Pelodiscus sinensis: one gene and its partner. The protein of the gene in region 1 interacts with the protein of each later gene in a biochemical or structural test. Links are inferred from orthologs where the notes say so. Each region holds a gene or a part of one and is shown on either strand. Other genes may lie near its edges. The genes, in order: FLT1 and PGF.

Region 1 (9,085 bases):
AGTCTCCCCCAGTTGTGTTCAATAAAGAAAGATTCTATTTTTGACCACACGTTTTCTTTATTTTGTACATCAGGAAGGGGGGCTAGGGAAGGGTAAGTGGAAGGAGGTGAGGGAGGAATGGGGTACACGCCCCCGATGGGGATGACTGGGCTGGCTCTGCGGGCTTCTGGGGGTGGAAGCTCTCCTGCAGCCCCCCGATTGTCCCCTCCCGCCAGATGGCAGCCTTTGGCAAGTGCAGCCGGGGTGATGGCCAAGTTCTGTGATGTTACGCGTGTGGGCACTCAGGGCACTCCAAGCCAGGACTGCTTTGCAAGCGGGGAACCCTGAGAACTGTCTGTCCGGGGTGGGGGTCGGGTCCCTTTAAGCACAGCCCTCGGCTAGCCTGAGACAGCAGCTCCACGCTCGAAGTCCTCATCTGATGCCCTGCCGGCACTGCTTTTGGCCATCCTTAACCTCTGTTCAGGGTCCACTCTGTGTGGACATGCTAGTTCGAATTAGCAAAACGCTAATTTGAACTAGTTTTTAGGTCTAGCTGTGCTAATTCGAATTAGCTTAGTTCGAATTAACTAATTTGAACTAAGTTAGTTCTAATTAGTGCTGTAGTGTAGACATACCCATAGTTATCATTAACAAGGGATAGAGAATAAGACAGAGAATATTTTATTGCCTCTATATAAATACATGGTATGCCCACATCTTCAATACCATGTGCAGATGTGGTGGCCTCATCTTAAAAAGGTATCTTGGGTATTAGAAAAAGTTTAGAAAAGTGAACAAAAATGATTAGAGGTATGAAACAGCTATCAGATGCAGAGAAATTAATAAGATTGTAACTTTTCAGCTGAGAAAAGAGAAGACTTAAGGGGGATATGATAAAGATCTATAAAATCATGATTGGTGTGGAAAAAGTAAATAAGGAAGTTATTTACTTACTCCTATAACACAAAAGCTAGGGGTCATCAAATTAAATTAATAGGTAGCAGGTTTAAAACAAACAAAAGGAAGTATTTCTTCACACAATGCACAGTCAACCTGTGGAACTCCTTGCCAGAGTATATTGTGAAGGCCAAGTCTTTAACTGGATTCAAAAAAGAACTATATACATTCATGGAGGATAAGTCCATAAATGGCTATTAGTCAGGATGGGCACGAATAGTGTCCCTAGCCTCTGTTTGTCAGAAGCTGGGAATGAGCAATGAAGGATGGATCATTTGATGATTATCTGTTCTGTTTATTCCCTCTGGGGCACTTGACATTGGTCACTGTCAGAAGACAGCATACTGGTCTAGATGGACCTTTGGTCTGATCCAGTATGGCCGTTTTTATGTTCTTATGATCCAACTGGTTACAAGCAAGATATAAATGCCTAAGTGGACAGAATAGAGAGGGGGAGGTGCAACAGGAGCTCATTGTGTTTGGTGGCTGTACATACATGTCATTTTTTGGTAGTAATGGAGTTTTGACCTTAGTGGGAACCACTGCTAACCCTCTGAGCCCTCAGTCTGGTGGCTTGCCTGTCATATTGGCAAGCAATTAGTATGGGGGCATATAATGTCAGTGGCCAGGAATTTTAGTTGCAGAGCAAGTACGGAATTTCCTCTCATAGTACTGACCTTCATACACTCTCTCCATCTGAGTGAACGTATTATTTCCCTCTCCACCCTTCCCATATATAATTGCATAGTTTCCTTGTTTTAGCATGCCCACTAGTGGGGATTGTCATCTCTGGGGAAGGTGCTCTGCCCTGTGTTACTGCTCACAGTGAAGTGATTGATTTCAACCACCAGTGGAACCAGAAAGGAATTTCCTGCTAAAATGTTCCCATGTATTTTGGTTTTACAGTGGGCTGAGTGTTGCCTCAAGTGGTTTTCTCCTCTCTTAAAGGTCCAAGGGAGTTTCAAACACATATATCCATATCCCAGGATATTTACTGAGGCTGGGATATGCTGCAGTCTTTGCTAACAAAGTATCGTCCAACAGGGAAGCTATACTGAGTGATCTACTCCATCCAGTGTGCATGTGTTGACAACTTTAAACTATTCATATCTCCTGGGTGAGATCCCTCTATTTACAGTGAATGGTGTAGCCCTTTTCCATTTTCATGAAAACCCAATATACCATGTATGAGCATCACTAGAGCATGAATAGCACATCCCTAGGTTGAGCACCCTAATGGTGCTAGCTTGGATGGAATGGTGTAATGGACTGTAGGGCAGTCCAAGTCACCCCAGAGCACTTTAATCCAGGACAAGTTGGCAAAGACTTTGTGCTATGGGTAGGTTAATTTATCTGTCTACACTTCAGGCAATTGGACCCCCACATCACACATCTGCCTCTGGCTGTACTCTGCCCCAACACCAATGCCTACACAAGACTCACCCTTTCACAAGCGCCATCCATTTATGGTCCGAGTGCTGAAAGTGCAGGCACTGTTCAGCATGGTAATGTTTTGAGGGATACCTGGGAACAATTTTAACAAAGAACTGACATGGAAAAAGTTGGAATTAATTCAGAATTAATTAATCTATTAATTAATTAATTAATATATTATTTCTTCTTCTCTTCTGTTAGATCAACATCAACACTGAACATCCTGCAGCACAATCTGCTCTGAAAGGCCCCAATTCTATACAGGAATATTTAGGTTACTCACTGGAGCAGTGGCTATCATACTGTGCTTATCTTCTACATAGCATGCTCTGTAGGATAGTGTAGGCTTAGTGTTCTTGGGTCTTGGCACAACAACTCTACATGCTGTTTACAGCTTACAGAAGAAGCCAGCTCACTCCATAGCAAGAACAAGGGCATTCATAGCACTTGGTACTGGTCATCAGTGGAAGAGCAATAAACAGAGTAGTGAGTGAAAACTGCAGGGGGACCGAGAGCATTAACACCCACTTTTGGGGAACTACAATGTCACTGAGTTGGTGAACCTTTGCAATTACAAAACAAGTTGATTTGCCTACGGGCATTTCCAATTCCTCACCAGAAATCTGTAAAGCTACAGACTTAGCAACTGGTCCCCATCAGCCCTTCAGCAGACATGTTTGTCACATTTTGTAGAGGTTTTAGTCTTAGCTATTATGTTTGGCAGGTTTTCTTTTTAGCATTTGGTAATATTTTTTATCCAAAGTTTGAAAATAAATATCCCACAATTCATTGCCAAAGGGAATGTGACAGGCCTTAAAACATGTGAGGACAAAAAATGTCTGTCTGTATACCATATCTGGGGCTAACATTCTGGTGCAAAATAGTCAGGGAAGTACACCTCTCCGCAGGCTTGCCAATCCTTCCAGTAGCAGGTGTGTATATATATTTGGTACTGACTCTTCCCTAGGTCTGTGGCTTGATTATGTAATATCTATATTCCAGTAACACCCAACCACTCCCATCAAATCTGGGCCTAAACAAACAGACAAGGGCAGTGTGCAGAACTGATAATCTAAATAGACAATATAGGGAAAGAATAGTACATAATATTAAACAAAATTTAGTAGGGACAAACAGACCACCCTGCTGCTCTATAGTGCACAGTATTCAAGTGCCTTTCAACGGTGCTCTGATTTGCCTCCTTCTGCCCAACCCATGCCATACAAGTGTGTGGTTAGTATTTAATCCTTCCTCTTGTGTTTTGCGACCAGAGTTTTGCTTTATGGCTAGACTACTCCAAGAGGTTTTCCAGGATACCCAAGATATCCCTGGAAAACTCTTCTGCATCTAGGGATGCATTTGCTCTTCTGTTTTTTTTCCGGAAAAGCAAATGCGCTCTTTAGCAAGTCCCTGTATTCCTTGTTCTACTAGGAATAAGGGGGCTTCCGAAAGAGGGTTTTTTCCTAACATTTGGCCCAGTCTAGACAAGCCAAATGTCAGAAAAGCCTCTTCTGACAAAAGGATTGAAAAAAAAAAGCTGCAGTTTAGCCCTAAAAGTGTCTATTGTCTAGTTCTTTTCATCTCCCTGTCAGGATAATTTCAATCCTTCATCATCAGCATCCAACCCCCTTTTCCTCCTCCCCTTTTCTGGCTCCTTCTGACCACTTTTGAAGATATAATGAGCTCCGAAGGTGCATTCTTCTGATCCTGCTTCTGTTTCTCCTCTCTGTCTCTTCCTGGAGGTCCCCTACCAGGAGGAACCTATCCTGCCCTGCTTCTGTGGTCTGTGTTGAGAGGCCTCAGGGTACTTAGTGTACGAATTTCCTTCTGGGTCTCCTGCTGCTGCTCTTCCCTCTCTATTCCTGGGAGCAGTAGTATCAGGAGTAATTTCTGACTGGAAAAGCAGCCAGCCTTTCCAGTGGTTCATGGGTGGAAGCTTCTATAGAGACATATTTTTATTTCTGGTCACAGTATTGAAAGTACAGGATCAAATCACAGTCCTGTTTCGGGAGTTCACACAGATACTCTGCTCTACTACTTTCAAAGTTGAAAGATAAAACTACCCATTTGAAACCAGGGGCTTACTTCTTGGGCCAAGGGGATGCAGGCATTGTCACGAGCTGCCCGTGACTTTGGACGAGGTGCCTCAGGTCTGGTGCCTCCGATTGCTCGTGCTGTGACCTGGGGGTCCTTAGCACCCACCCGCCCCGCGGAGGCCGAGAGGGAACTTAATACGGTGGCGTTCCTGCCAGTGACAAGAGCACTGCGCTCCTCGCCGGGCAGGCAGACCCTGCGGCTTTCCCGGAGCCAGCAAAGAGCAACCCAAGGAGAGCGGGCCGGTCGCCCGGAGCATCTCCAGTGTGAGCAGCCGTGCGGAGGCCGCCCCAGCTCGGCGAGCCCCGCGGGGAGAAGCGCTCGGCACCGAGCGCCCCGCTTGCTGAGCTGCAGGGCGTGAAGCCACTGCCCAGAGGTGGACGTCCGCGCTGCGCTCAGCCCGCGGTACTTTACCGGGGCCGCCCGGGAGCCGCTAGCGGGAAGGTCCCGAGGCAATGCAGGGCCCGCGATCTGCCTGCAGCCAGCGGCTCCCGTCCCCCGGTGCCCAGGGGAGGCGCTGGCAGGGGGAGCCGGGCCCCGCGCTGTGGGGCTGGCGGCGATGGAGAGGCGCTGCCCAGCCGGACTCAGGCTGATGGGGGGGGGGGGGGGGTAACAGAGCCAGGGCAGGGCAGATGCACTAGCACTAGGACACACGTGTATCCCAGCCTCGCTGGGGCCGGGAGCGCAGGCGGAGGACGCGGTGCGATGGGACTGCAGCGCTGTGGGAGTGACGGGGGGCGGCGGGCTGGGGGGCAGCGCAGCGTGGGCACGGAGGGGCCGGGAAGTGGGCGCTGGCTCCAGCCGCACTCCTGCGCAGGCAGCAGGGCACGGCAGGGGGCCGGAGGGGCCGGGGGCTCCGGAGGGGAGGGGGACCCGGTGACGCAGAGAGGAGGGCGTGATCCGCCGGGAGGATGTGGAGGTTATAAATCAGCCGGGCGGCGGGCAGCTCCCTGCGAAGGGATGTCCACGGGAGTTTAAGCGCGCAGCTGGAAGCGCCCTTACGGAGCGGAGCGCAGCGCTGCCCGGGGCTAGGGGCTGCTGGATGGTGATCTCTCCCCGGGACCTGCTGCCCAACTAGCTTATCCCCCGTGGGGAAAGCGAGTCCGGGCCGGCTGCCGGAGCAGCAGCCCCTCTGCTGGGTGTCCTCGAGCCGCGTCCTCTCTCCGAGCAGGCTCGGGCAAAGCTCTCCACCCTGCGCGCACCTCCCGGGCAGGACCATGGGCAGCCGGGCGCTCGCAGGGGCCATGCTGTGCGGGCTGCTGGCACCCGCTCTCCTTTTCGCAGGTGAGTGGCCCGTTCCCCTGCGGGGGGAAGGATGAAGGGAGGAGGACGGTCGAAGTTAAATGATCCATGGGACAGCCGGCTGCGCGAGGCTCTGCGCCCCAGAGAGACACCTCCAAATCCCGGGCAGTGCCTGGGGGAGTCTGACCCGCAGGGGGACGGGAGCTGGGGTCCCACCCGGACGGCATTTCTCCTCTCCCCACAGGGCCCCCGCTGCCTCCCCCTGTTCCCAGCTGGAGGCTGCTTTGCTCCCAAACGGGGCGCTGCCCCTATTATCCTGTAAGCAGGTTCCCGTGGTCCCCCTCGGAGCTGCCCCGTCTAACTCTCCTGGGCAGACATTGTGAAACGCTGGGGAGAAGCTGGATCCTGCCGCGCTGTGGCTCCAAACCCACAACTTGTAGCATCGAAATGTAAAGAGCAAGGCTAGCGGTTCCCTCCTTGCTACAGGCAGCATCCCGGGCCCGGTTTCAGCCCGGGGCTCCCGCAAGATGTTGGAAAAACTGGATGTAAATTGTACGATCGAAACAGACACTCGCGGTAGTCGCACTTCCCTGGAGCAATCTGGACTCTGATACATCCTGGTCCAACATCAATCTGACCAGTGTGGGAGGCACAATGAGTACTTCAGTCGTGACCATTTTAATCCTATTTCCGCAAAATCCTATTTTTAAAGGGGGAAAAAATGTAGCAACTATTAGCGACCCCGAAAATCCAGCCCTGTGCGCACCTAGATGCGGCTGGGTTTTAAATCTCAAAGCCTTAAATTCTACCAGAAAGAAGAGCGCCAGCCCCGATCCCACTGCTAAGATCCAGATCCTGAAGTATGCGTGGTAAATAGCACCGCCAGGACAGAGATCTATCAAAGCAGAGCTCGGGACACAGATTTATCTCATTCAAGCTATACTTTGTCTCTAGAGAGAGTAAAATATTGCGGATCTAGGTGAAAAAAAAATTGGCCATAGCATGGTGGCTCCCGGTCCATGTGTGGATGTTACCAGGGCTTGTGTGCCGGGATGTATCAGGGACCAGGTATTTTAGCAAGGACGTCGCTTGGTTTCCATTTCCTCAACAGAATGTAGAGACCTGTGGCCCATATTCCCTGGATCCGGTAAAAGTATTGGAGCCTGGGTTTGTCTGGTTAAGCAATGTGCATGGTCTGTTTTGATGGTACAGTTCGGAGCATTCAAACCAGTCGGGCCAGCAGGGCGAAGTTCTAATTTGCTGGGGCGCACAAGGTTATGGATTTTTGCAGTGGCATGCTTGCTTTTCTTGGTGCTGGAACAGAGCTTTCCAGATGAGAGGTAAAGCTGTTTGAAGATTCACGGGAGTTGAACCAGGCAGAAGGAGAGCTCTTGTTCAAGTGTGAGAAAATACTAAAATGCATGTGGAAACAGGGCCAAATATAGACCTGGTGTAACCATACTGAAGCCAGGTATGGATTTGCCACATAATGGAAAGCAAATGTAAAGTCTGCAACAGAGGAAAATTGCTAATTGAGATTAGCCTCAGAGAGACAACTACATTTTGTTCAATGTGATGACTATGCTAAGGGGCAGGTTGAATCAGAGTTTCTAAGTAAGTAGCAAATATTTTTACATGAGCGTAATCAAATTATTCTGTTGCATGATGTGCTATAAATTATTTGTAAGGAAGATTACAGAGCCAGTTAAGTGTTACATTTTCCGGCAAACTATTCTACCTTCTGGTTTCTATTAAATCCTGCCTGAATAGCTGATGCCCAGTACAGTTATAAAGGCTGTGCTGATTTCATAAAGTCCTGGCAGTAATAGAAATAATTTGTGCATGTGAGTAAAACAGTCCCAAAATATTGTATTGTTTCATTGACAGATTTTGACTTGAAAAGCATTGAGAATACAGCTCTGTCTGCATATATACAATTAGAGGCAGTGGGGTCAAATCCTGCTAGTGATTTTCAGTTGGGATGGGAAACTGGTGATGGGGCATGTATGCCAACACACTAACTACAGTATATGGTCATTATCTATCCTACAAAGTCTCCTATTCTGTCACTTGCTGTGTAGTAGATCTCCCAGAAGGGAAGACCATGCTCCTTTGAAGTCCATAGCAAAACTCTCCATGACTTCAATTTTGAGCAGGATCAGGCCCTGAATACTAAAAGAGCAGGAAGGGGTGTGGAATGGAGGATTGGGTGGTGAGGAATTACTTGTTAAAGTTAATGCATTGATTCTCCATAGACTCTTACTCCCATCACCAGAAGCAGATCTGGGAAGGAAATGGTTTTCCCATTGCATGAACATTTTTCAACTATCAAAACATTTCCCCATTCTGCAATGGGAGGAAATGGAGACCTTTCTCATGGAAAAGTGCATGAGAGAGGGTACGCCCCTGGCATAGCCAATAGCCTAATGGTCAGGGCACTCACGTGGCAGGTAGGGGACATAAATTAAAGCCCTGCTCTGCCATACCTGCAGTGAGAGCCCTAATTACCAGGCTATTGAGTGTTTGAAGGTGGGGACTGTCAATGGCTCCCATGGAAGCTGTTCCACTTTGCATAGATAAGGCAAGAGGATCTGACTCTAGATCTGTGGCTAGGGCACTGATGTAAGAAACACAGCTTCAAATCAGATCAAGGCTTGCAGGAACACTAAAAAAATAGCTGTAGAGAGGTTGCGTTGGTGTGCAACTCAGGGTGGTGCTTGGGCGGTCAACACAGGCCACTCTGCAGACTTCAGAACCCAAGCGCTAGTCAGAGACTTCAGAGTGCCCATTATATAGTTATTTTTAGATTGTCGGCATCAGCCCCCAGCACAGTCTGCCAGCCTGGCCTCTGCCATCCAAAATGCTGGGTAGACATACCCTGTATGGCTAATCTACTTACATCCTCTCACTCATTGAAGCATCGGAGGGGAGAAGCTCTGCTCTCGTTTAGAAGACAGTAAGTTGGACCAGACTGTTAGGAGGAGTTGGTTTAGCAATTATTTGTGATAGGGAGTCATTAGGAAAGAGAAGAGGAAATGGTATTTGAATTAGTACATGTGTTTTCAGTCATTTAAAGTTTCCTATGCTAACACATTAGCTATGTGTCTCTTTGGAAATTAGATTGAAGAAATAATATTTATTTTCTTGTAATTGTCAGTCCGAGCTTTAGGAGATCTTTGCATTCAGAGATATTCACCTGCCACTACAATGTTGGCTTCTCTCCCATGTCACAGCAGAGCATGTTAGTTTGTTTTTTATGTTTGCATATATGCGTGATCATTTGTTTATATCCATCCAGTAGCATTTGCTAAGCACGTTTACCAAATGGTAGAAATTAAACCTTTCATGCCATATTATGGTCTAATCCTGCACAATTTAA
Region 2 (9,532 bases), on another chromosome or scaffold:
GCTCCCTATGAACTATGTAGCTTGATTTCACCAGAGCAAGCTGGAGCAATAGCAAACAAAGGGGCTGTGGGGAGGATGGGAGATCTCAAGCTGCCTACATCCCCAGGTACAGTGGTAATATTTGTTAGACACTGGGCAGATTTTGCTCTATAGGAATCACCCTGCATCTGGGGAAATGTTCCTCTTTTCTTTGTGTCCTACTGTCTTTCTCCTGAGCCTTGAATGTCTCTTGCCTTAGCAGTGGATGGCTCAATTTCCCATTCCCAATGATTTGTGCCAGCCAGTCTGTGGGGCATTAGGGAGTGCATGCAGTGCCAGCCAATCTGTGGGGCATTAGGGAGTGCATGCAGTATGTGGCCAAGTCGTGGGGGCTGAGCTCTGCTGTTGTGGAGTGCCATGATGTTCTTGCATTGTGACAAGGCCTAAGGGCACCTGCCCATCCAGCCTGTGTTGGCTTTTTAATGTTCTTTCTTCTTTCCCCATTGTGATAATTTGGGGAATCCATTATCCGGCTGATGAATTCTGGTGCATTTTATGAAATTGCTGCATCATTGAATTCCTCAGTGAGTCAGCCATGGGCTGTTGAGATTCCCCGACTCTTTCCCTCACCCTGTCTGGGAGAAGCTACAATCCAAACAAAATAAGTCATTAACCTTAATGACTGTGCAGGCATCATATCAGAGGTATGCTGAGGAGGGTTCCTGAGCTGGAAAACCTGTTTAACCAAGTTTATCAAGGGAGTGCTGATATAAAGACAAGAAGTTTCAGGCAGGGGAGAGAATGAAGGGGCTGGCATACTTTTATAGCAGAGAGCTCCTTTTTGACTGTGGGGCCAGCCATGGCTGGTGTGAGGCATGTGCAGTCAGTCCCCCCTGCATGTGGCCCCGTGCTTTATTATTGGTCCCACCTGCCTGGGTGGCATGTCCTACCTGAGGCACTGCCTGAAGCAGTAGACTGTGCATGGCAGTGGTAGCCCCCCCCCCCCCCCCCCCCGCCCAGTGGGGTCTGCGGGAGAAGAGGAGGAGCCTGTTTTGGATGCCAGTGCCTCTGGCGATCTGGCTCCTCATGCTGTCAGCCCAGGAGCTCTTCATGCTGCTGAGAGAGCAGCTGCTGCAGCCCCACCTGGGCAGAGCCAGAGTCCCCGGTCCACTGTGAAGCTATTGGTGGCCCAGGCCCCACCATCCTATTCTAACTAAGCCCTGCAAATAATCATGCCTGCCCTGGGGCCAGCTGGTGAAGAAGAAAGCTACTTGCAGCGAAGAAACATTCTGTGATTTGAAGGAGAGGCATGTGCAGGAAGGGAATCCTGGAGTCCAACCAAATCCCAAAGAACACTCCCAAGGGGTAAGGAAGCTGAGGCAGGGAACAGCATGTAGATGTGGTGTTATTTTTACCTCAGTCTGTATCTCTCTTGGGCTCACTAATGTGATTGTGTTAGAAACTTTTACAAACCCCCTGTATTATGGGCTTCGGCAATCACGTACTCCTCTGGAGTTGGACTGTAACTCAAGTGCCTATACGCAGTGATGTGGTAGAAATGTAGCCGTGTTAGTCTGGTGCAGCTTAGGCTTGCGAGTGGGCCACATGAGTCGCCCTCCTTCACCTCAGTGGGCTGCGAGATTGATATAACCAAAATGGGTTCCCAAGGTAGAGTAGTTTTGCTCACTGTGCTTGAGTCCTAGAATTTGCAAGGTATGGCAATTGAACCTAGCAAGGCTTTGATTGGATGCAGAGGGAGTGCACAGCTCTCACAGTCAGTGTTGTTGCAATGAGCATACACTTCACCTCAGGTACCCTTTCTGTAAGTGCATGTTGTTTTAGTAATACCAGGAGGAAGAAAACTACGTGGCTGGAAACCAGTGGACTCTGGCAACCCGGCACATGGGCAACAGTAAACAAAATGCCTCACAAGCCACACACAGAACCCGAGTAGGCCTCCGGTTGCCCACTACTGAATCATGGGGTTGGAGCTCTGGACAAAGATGTCCCTAAGCTATCAGGCAGTCTTGGAGGTGGTTAGCACTGATCTTGGGTCCTAGGGCAGCTGTGTGGTGAGCTGCTGTCTCTATGAAGATGTAACAGACAAGCTGTGCCTGGGAAGTGTGCCAGAGAGGCCAAAGACCAAAGGGCTTAAAGTGCAATGGGCCCAGTGTGTTGGGATCCAAACACAACAGCCTTGGTGAGTGTTCAGAAAGGGGAGCTTGACTAGGGCTGTGACACCAGAAATGGGATGGCTTGTCATGTCCATGAGCTCAGCAGGGATATGTTGGATGGGTTCAGACAACATGTAAGCCTTGCTGGGTTGCTGACAAATGATTCCTCATCACCACCTCCCTCATGTCCTTGTGAAGGTGGAGGCTTGGGCTGGGAAGTGCTTTCCTGGTTTGTCCCTCAATCTTGGGAAGGCTGAGATGGAACAGACAGAGAAGCAGGCTCTGCCCTGGTCTGTTATTGACAAGAATGCGTGTCTGCTGGAGCCGCATTCCAGCGCCTGGTGCACACACCCTGGGAACATGAGCCCACAAAGCAGCCAGATGCAGCTCAGCACTGAGGAATTCCAGCTCATCACAGGGGCCTCTTGCTCCTCTCAGAGCATAAGTGGATCGTGTTTGCTCCCTTGTGCAAAGACTCAGGAGGATAAGGATTTAATCTCCCCTGTCATGGGAAGCCTTAGTTGCCACACTGGGGGGCCATGTCTATTTCCTGGGAGGACAAGAGAATTCTGAACCCTGACATGAATCCCACTGTGCAGAGCTGTTACTAGTGTCCCATTTTGGATCATGCTACCTTCAGGTGCCCAAATCTGCCCTACCCACCAGAACTGCAGCTTTGCCAAGACTCCCTGGGTTAGAGAGAGAACATAACTGTCCTGGTTATTCCTTCACACCAGCACACTGACAACAGAGTTTGGCTCCTCGTGTTGTCAGGGATTGTTATTTCTGATTACCAGAGAGTTAATTTCCCACGCTCTTCTATCTGTAGCCCTGACTCAGCCTAACAGCCACCACTTCCTCGCTCAGGAGATTTCACTCTCCAGTGTGTTAAAAAGCAAAATGAGACTGTCACAATACATTGCCAGCGACTAGAGTTTGAAACTCTTTGGGGCTTTTCTCTTCAGAAGGCAGCTGATCTGGCAAGAACAGAAAAGCTTCAGAGTGGATTGGTGGTATGGTACCAGGGTGCAAAGAGCCCTCAGACGGATCTCTTTGCAAGTCTGCACCAAAATAACTACACTGGATTTAATTCACACCTTTTGTTGTTTCAGTAGAAGTTTGTATATATAAAAGCGCTTAAATAGTAGGATAACAAACTTAGATTTAAAAAGACATTGAAAACCCTCTTGCAAGAAAGTGTTAGCATAGGTGGGATTATATGAAAAGCAATTAGAAGTACAGGCATCTCAGGTCTCAGCCCTGACCTAGGATTGAGCTGGTGAGCAGCAGTGTAGCATATTGACACACTGCTTCCAAGTGCCTTTCTTGTTCTTCCATTCTCAAGAAAGAGTAATAAGCAAAAGTAACTTGGAAGCTGTTATGCCTGCAGAGAAGTCCTTGAAAATGTGACCCATGTGCACAGCAGTGCAGTAATATGTGCCTGAGTTGCAGAATACTGGGCTCAGTATCTCTGCTTGACAGGTGGAGTTTATTGTGGGCAGAACATGGCAGAGTACTGCTATTCCCCTTCTCCCCAATTTGATGCTTGGTTTTGAACCAACTGAAAACCATTGGCAAGCAGGCTGGGAAGCCCAAAGGAAGTGTAAATGTTGGAGTTCTTGCAAGAAAATACAATTTGAGCGACAGTCCCCTCATTGTACTATAGCTGTGATGAGTCTGCCTTCGCATATTTTGCAGTGAGCAGCACTGTCCCATTTTATACACTTGAGTTATGTGGGGAGGGGTTCTTGGGGATGGGGACAGCTGGCTTGTACAGCTATCTAAAAGAGTAGATTCTTGTTATTTATTAAGTGCTGACTGCATTCAAGACTCTGTAGATGCCAGAATCCCTGCCCCATGGGATATACAAAAATAAATAGCCATAACCAGATGCACTGGCAGAGCCAGTGGATGATGCTAACCTGGAGTTTTTTTAAACACTTATGGTAGCAGTTTGTACTAACAGGGCCTTCCTGAGCCATGTGGAGGAAGGAAGTATGAAGGAGGGAGGTTGGATATTGGCATTTTGGGACGTGGAGAAGGTTTCAGCCATAGGATGTTAGCTCTCCATGTCTCTGTAGATCATGCCCTCTTGACTAACACAGACAACCAGGCACCTCTAAGAAATCAGAATACTCTTATTTTTCTTCTAGCTGAAGCAAAGTAGTTGGCTCCTCAGCACAACATGTTATGGCTCTGGGCTGATGCATGCAGAGTACAAAGGCAGCAGTTCTGCAAGGCGCATCTTAAATTAGCTTTATCAACTCCAACTGTCTCTTAAAAATCAGAGAAAAGAGGAATCTGTGCCTCTGGTCCCTGGGGCAGCTCAACAGCCCAAGGTTGGCGTCCTTCCTCAGCTTTCTCTGAGCTCCCGTACCAGACAGGTTTAACTTGGCAGCTGTCATGAAGGGTCAATTGTTACCATTAAATCCACTCACCCATGTGTCAACTGTCTCAGATTTAAATAAACATAAAAATCACCGTGTCCAATACCACAGTCCAGGGTCTGCAACATTCCAGTCGGCAGTGTATTTCATAGGGATTAATAGAGAAATGATTCTTTATATTGTGAGTTCTCAGGGCAAGGACCATGTCCATGTCTCTATGTACAGCACTGTGCACTTCGTGGCCCCAATGGAGGCCTCCAGGCACTGCCACAGAACAAATGCTTATTAAGAGAACTAGTTCAAGGGAAAGCCTATAGAAAGGCCTAACCCCCAGGAGAAGCCGGGATAAGGTTCAGCCTGAACTTGAGTTCTCAACATCAGTATAATATAAAAGCGCAGGAGAGCCAGCGAGGGTGGGGAAGGGAGAACCAGGCACACACATTACACAGAATGAAGCTGAGAGTTATAGGGGTTAGAGATTAAAGCGCTCTGTTGGCTCCTGTCTATTCCCTCACTGGAGATCCAGGGCAGATCATTTTCTACACTCTATTGGCCAAGGTCCGGTCATATTTGAAGGGTCTCAAGCGATGTGGTTGTAGGGCCTAAAACCCCCATTGACTCTCCCATTGCACGTGCGGGGGGTGGGGGGGGGGTTAGGAGAGAACAGCCTCACTTCCCCCGGGCACCCCTGCCCGGGCGCTCGCTCCCAGCTGCCTGAACCCACGACATCGCTCACAGCCACAGCTGCGCGCGCCTGCAGCACTCGCAGCAGCCCCTGCCCAGTGACGCGCGCGCACCTGTGGGTGAGCACCCAGAGCCCCGCCGGGGCACGCGGGGCCGCGGATGCACAACCAGAGGAAGCAGGCGGACAGCTGGAGTCTGCGGGGCTCGGAAGTCCGGAGGATGCAGCGCCGCTTTGTGCGGTCTCGGAGGAAGAGAAAGTGGGAGTGAGGGTGTGAGGTGGGGAGGGGCTTGGGCGGAGCCTGCTGCTCATGAAACAGAGCTGCGGAGCCGGCAGGGCAGCATTCACATGGCTGGAGAGCAGCTGCTGGGTGCAGGGGGGCGCCAGTGCAGGAGCAGGAGGGGGCTTGGGTGCGGCGATTGAGCGGGGCAGAGGTGGTGTCAGTGTCCCAGGACGAGCACCTCGGCGATCTGCGCCCCTTGTCCCCAAGACCCATGCTACTCGGGGCTCTGTAGCGCTGTCCTCCCATCTCCTGGCGACGGGCCAGCATCGCCTGCAGGACACAGCCTCTCCCAGGGCTAAGCTGCTGTCATTGGATCCACGGGTGCTGTGCTGGGGACGCTCGGGTCCTGGATTGTGACCAGCTCCTGGGAGCGCCACAGCCAGGGGGTCGCTCCGCCGTCCCCCCGCACTGGAATCTCCCGCGGGGCAGCATGTTTGTGTTAGCTGGGCCACGGGACTCTTCACTTGGGCAAAACTGAGGAGGCAGAACCAGTGATGCAGCTTCTCGGCAGCTTCTTGAGACTTCTTGTGGCTCTCGCGCTGCAGGCACCACCCGCTCAGGTGAGGGACCGCAGCTTCTTGCACCCCCATAATGGGTCTGGGGGAACAGAGAGGGCACTAGCCGTGGGAAAGTCCTCAGGGATCCTGGTGTAATGGTCCCAAGCCCCGTTACCCTCTTGCATCACTGTGGGACTAGAGAACTGCTGAGGAATGGCCCCTGTAGTGTACTTGGCAGGACAGTTGCAGAGTGGAGATCAGTCTGAGGAGCTGTTCTCGGGTTGTCCCACTACTAACCCTCCCCAGTCTCTGAGTTGTGAGTGACCCCTTGTTCCTTGGGACCTCCCTTTGCACAAGAAGAGGAGGCTGACTGAGATCCTGCTGGGCTGGCCGACAACTGGGGGGGAGGGGGTAGAAGATCAGTATCTCAGATGCTCTCTGATGATAAGGCTGGCTCCATCTTATGTCCAGGAAAAATAAACTCCCAGGTTACATCCTGTGAGAAGAGGGGAAGTGCCAATATTGTAGGAAAGCTGCAATGGGTCTGCAGCTTGCAGACAGTCCAGCGACTGCTCTTCAGCTGAAAGTGTCTGGAGAAGACTGTGAGCCGTTCGCCCAGGAGAGCAGTCCCATGGTGCGGGACAGGTGTCAAAGCAGCCGGGTGAACTCTGAGCCCCAGGTACCCTCCTACACCTGGCAAATCCCATGGAAGAGCCCTCTGCTCCCAGGAACAACAGCAGAGAGTTTCCTATCTGCTGAAAGACAAGTGGGAGACTCATCTTCCCAGACCCCCCCTACCAGAGCCACATATCCCATGGATGCTGAGTCCCAGGGCATGTGCTGTGACCAGCAAGGCAGCAGAGCATTACTGCACTGAAGCAGGGATGTGGCCTGATGCAAGAACACCATCTGCTCTCCAGCAAATGAGGTCTTAACAGTGCCCCTCCCTTGTACAGCTTCTCTGAGAAAGTCTAAGTAATTGATTGAGTACCCAGGGGTGGGAGGAAGCCCAGCCCAGCCCAGGAGATGAGGGGAGGTATTTCCTCTTTTTAAGCATATATTAATTTGCTTTGATTTTTGGTTTCAAACATTTGCCATTGAGGAAAAGTCCATCCCAGCTGATACCCCTGTGATTTGCTTCTGCTAAGTGTCTGTCAGCTGATCTGGGCTACTCATACCTGCTGCAGCCAGCCCACTTTGTGCTACCCGTCCATCACAGTGGGGCAGCCTTGGTCAGCATTTAGATGGCAAAGCCCCTCCTCCCCCTGCAAAGGAAACCCAGAGCATGGCTTGGAGGAATTCGGATTTATACAGCATCCCAGATACGCATGGCACATCCCAGATATACCTGGCCCCTGAATGAGTCCAGAAGGGCAGATGACAACATGCTGTGAGCTGGCAGAAGGGAATCAGATGGGGCTCAGACAGCATCATGTAGGGATGTAAAAGGTTAAATGGTTACCTGGTTACCCTGTAAGCATTAGCATAAGCATACTTACTGGTTAATCAAAGGGCTCAGCTAGCAGGAGCAGCCCGGCCAGCAGGACCCTGACTGCGACAGACCTGAGGGGACAGAGCAGCCCCCAGCCCATGGGGCTGGAGCAGCCTTTGCTGTCTGTGATCAGTGGTTAACCAGTTAAACATGCTGTTTAACCAGTTAACTATTTTAGGCAGTTTTTACATCCCTGGCATCATGATGATTGGGGTATTGAGACACTCAACTAGCTCAGGAAAGGGAGGAGGAGTGCTGGGGACTCAGTAGGGGGAGTTCTTTCCTTGCAGTGTTGGGCTCCATTTTAATCCAGTATTGACCCTAGGCCCCAGCCTGGCAGGACTGGGGGTAGGGTGGTAGGTGTTATATGGATGAGAGGTAAACTGACATGCTGACCGTGTGTGGTTATTGGATCCCATGGCATGTTGGATAGGAGCTGAGATGTCAGCCTGGGTTTCTTCTGCCTCCTGCAGTTTGAAGTTACACAAAGTCTTCACCTTCCCACAACCTCCTTAGCTGTTGTTTAGTGAATAATGTCCCACCTAGCCCATCTCCTGGGAGCCAGGGCAGAGTCGGTCCCTGTTGTGTTGCACTCAATCTACAGTAGTTTTAAAATTAACTTCACCAATGGCCGCTCTTATACAGCTGCCACATTATACTTCAAAGGTCACCACATTAAGTGGTGAGTGAAACAATCTCTTGCGGATCCACAACAGCTATAAACATGCTAGATAACACTCACTCCTGCCATGAGTGCTGCGGATTGGACTGGATGAGGTCCCCTCTAGGCCTATAATTCTATGCTATTTATTATCATTATTATTTATTAGCTCAGTTGTCTTCCTGCTTCTCCATGTATACCTCCAAATGCTCCACAACAGATCTGAGCTGGAAGGGCCAAGTACAGTGGATGGATAGGTGGGTGAATGATGCATGCAGATAGGTGAGAATGGGTGGGGGTTTGCTGCACTTTGCTTATTCCCCACTGCCTCTTTCTAAATGTCTCTGCATTTCTCTCCCAGCAGTGGGACAGATTCAGCAGAAATATTACCTCAGAAGCGCAAGGTGAGTCTGTAGCTGGTTCTCCTGGCTGTATGTGAGAATATTAGATCTCCGGTGGGCTCTGGAATTCTCTCTCTTCTTCTCCCTGCCCGGGGAGCCTGGGGATCCCCTCATGTCCACTAATCCCAGAGGAGGAGACAGACCCCAGGGAAGGGGCGGCAGGCTTCAGAGGTAGGTGATAAAACATGGCCTATGGGGAATCAGATTGGGACTATCATAAGTCATTGGGGGGAGACAGAGGAGTACACATAGAAAATGTATTGGGGAAAATGGCTCCTCTGACCCCCCCCAAGAAGTTAGTTCCCCAAGACACCCACACTACTGCACTCTGGGAAGATGCTTATCCAGCCTTCTTCAGAACTGATGAGTGCCAACAGGGCAGCCCCTTTTCTGGGAAAGAGCAGGATCAGAACTGAGCAGAATTCTTTAGGTGAAATTTATTTTTGACCAAAATGTTTTGTAAATTAGCTTTGAATTTGCTGAATTATTTCAGTTAAAAAATTGGTGCAAACAAACACATTTCATATGGACATTTTCAGGCAGAAGATTTTGACTTTTCATTTAGACTTTCACGTCCATTTAATTTTTTAAAAAGTAAACAGTGAAAAAACTGAACTGCAATAATTTGTTGGACCCCAAGCAGGTTTTCCTTTTTGTTTTTATTTTTTTGGAATGTCAGATGACTGAAACATTCCAAGTTGAGCTCTGTGGCAGCTTTTCCTGTAACAAGGTTTTGGGCACTATAAGCCATCATTCTTCAGGGCATGAGCCAACATGTAACTATTTGGGGTTAGAAGGATACTTGCCCCTGGGGACTGACTAGCCTGCAACTGCCACCAACAGTGATCTATCTGGTACTGGCCAATGTGGAGACAGTAGAGTGATCTAGCCAGAAAACTGCTCTGATTCAGTGTGGCAGCTCCTATAACAAACACTAGTTTTTGGGCTGTCCCATATCGGGACGCTATCTCCCCAT

What was found.
Region 2: the proteins of FLT1 (region 1) and PGF are reported together in a solved structure, tested with the Homo sapiens proteins (2 studies listed by BioGRID and IntAct, with this or other methods). The link is inferred for Pelodiscus sinensis from reciprocal best matches to the Homo sapiens genes FLT1 and PGF.

Annotation. Positions count from the first base shown.
Region 1 is NC_134711.1:299,711,080-299,720,164, forward strand, and holds the start of FLT1 (vascular endothelial growth factor receptor 1), read left to right. Parts: upstream 1-5,354; 5' UTR 5,355-5,681; coding exon 5,682-5,748; intron 5,749-9,085. UniProt on the Homo sapiens protein: Tyrosine-protein kinase that acts as a cell-surface receptor for VEGFA, VEGFB and PGF, and plays an essential role in the development of embryonic vasculature, the regulation of angiogenesis, cell survival, cell migration, macrophage function, chemotaxis, and cancer cell invasion.
Region 2 is NC_134714.1:44,147,431-44,156,962, forward strand, and holds the start of PGF (placenta growth factor), read left to right. Parts: upstream 1-5,520; 5' UTR 5,521-5,999; coding exon 6,000-6,065; intron 6,066-8,516; coding exon 8,517-8,559; intron 8,560-9,532. UniProt on the Homo sapiens protein: Growth factor active in angiogenesis and endothelial cell growth, stimulating their proliferation and migration. It binds to the receptor FLT1/VEGFR-1. Isoform PlGF-2 binds NRP1/neuropilin-1 and NRP2/neuropilin-2 in a heparin-dependent manner.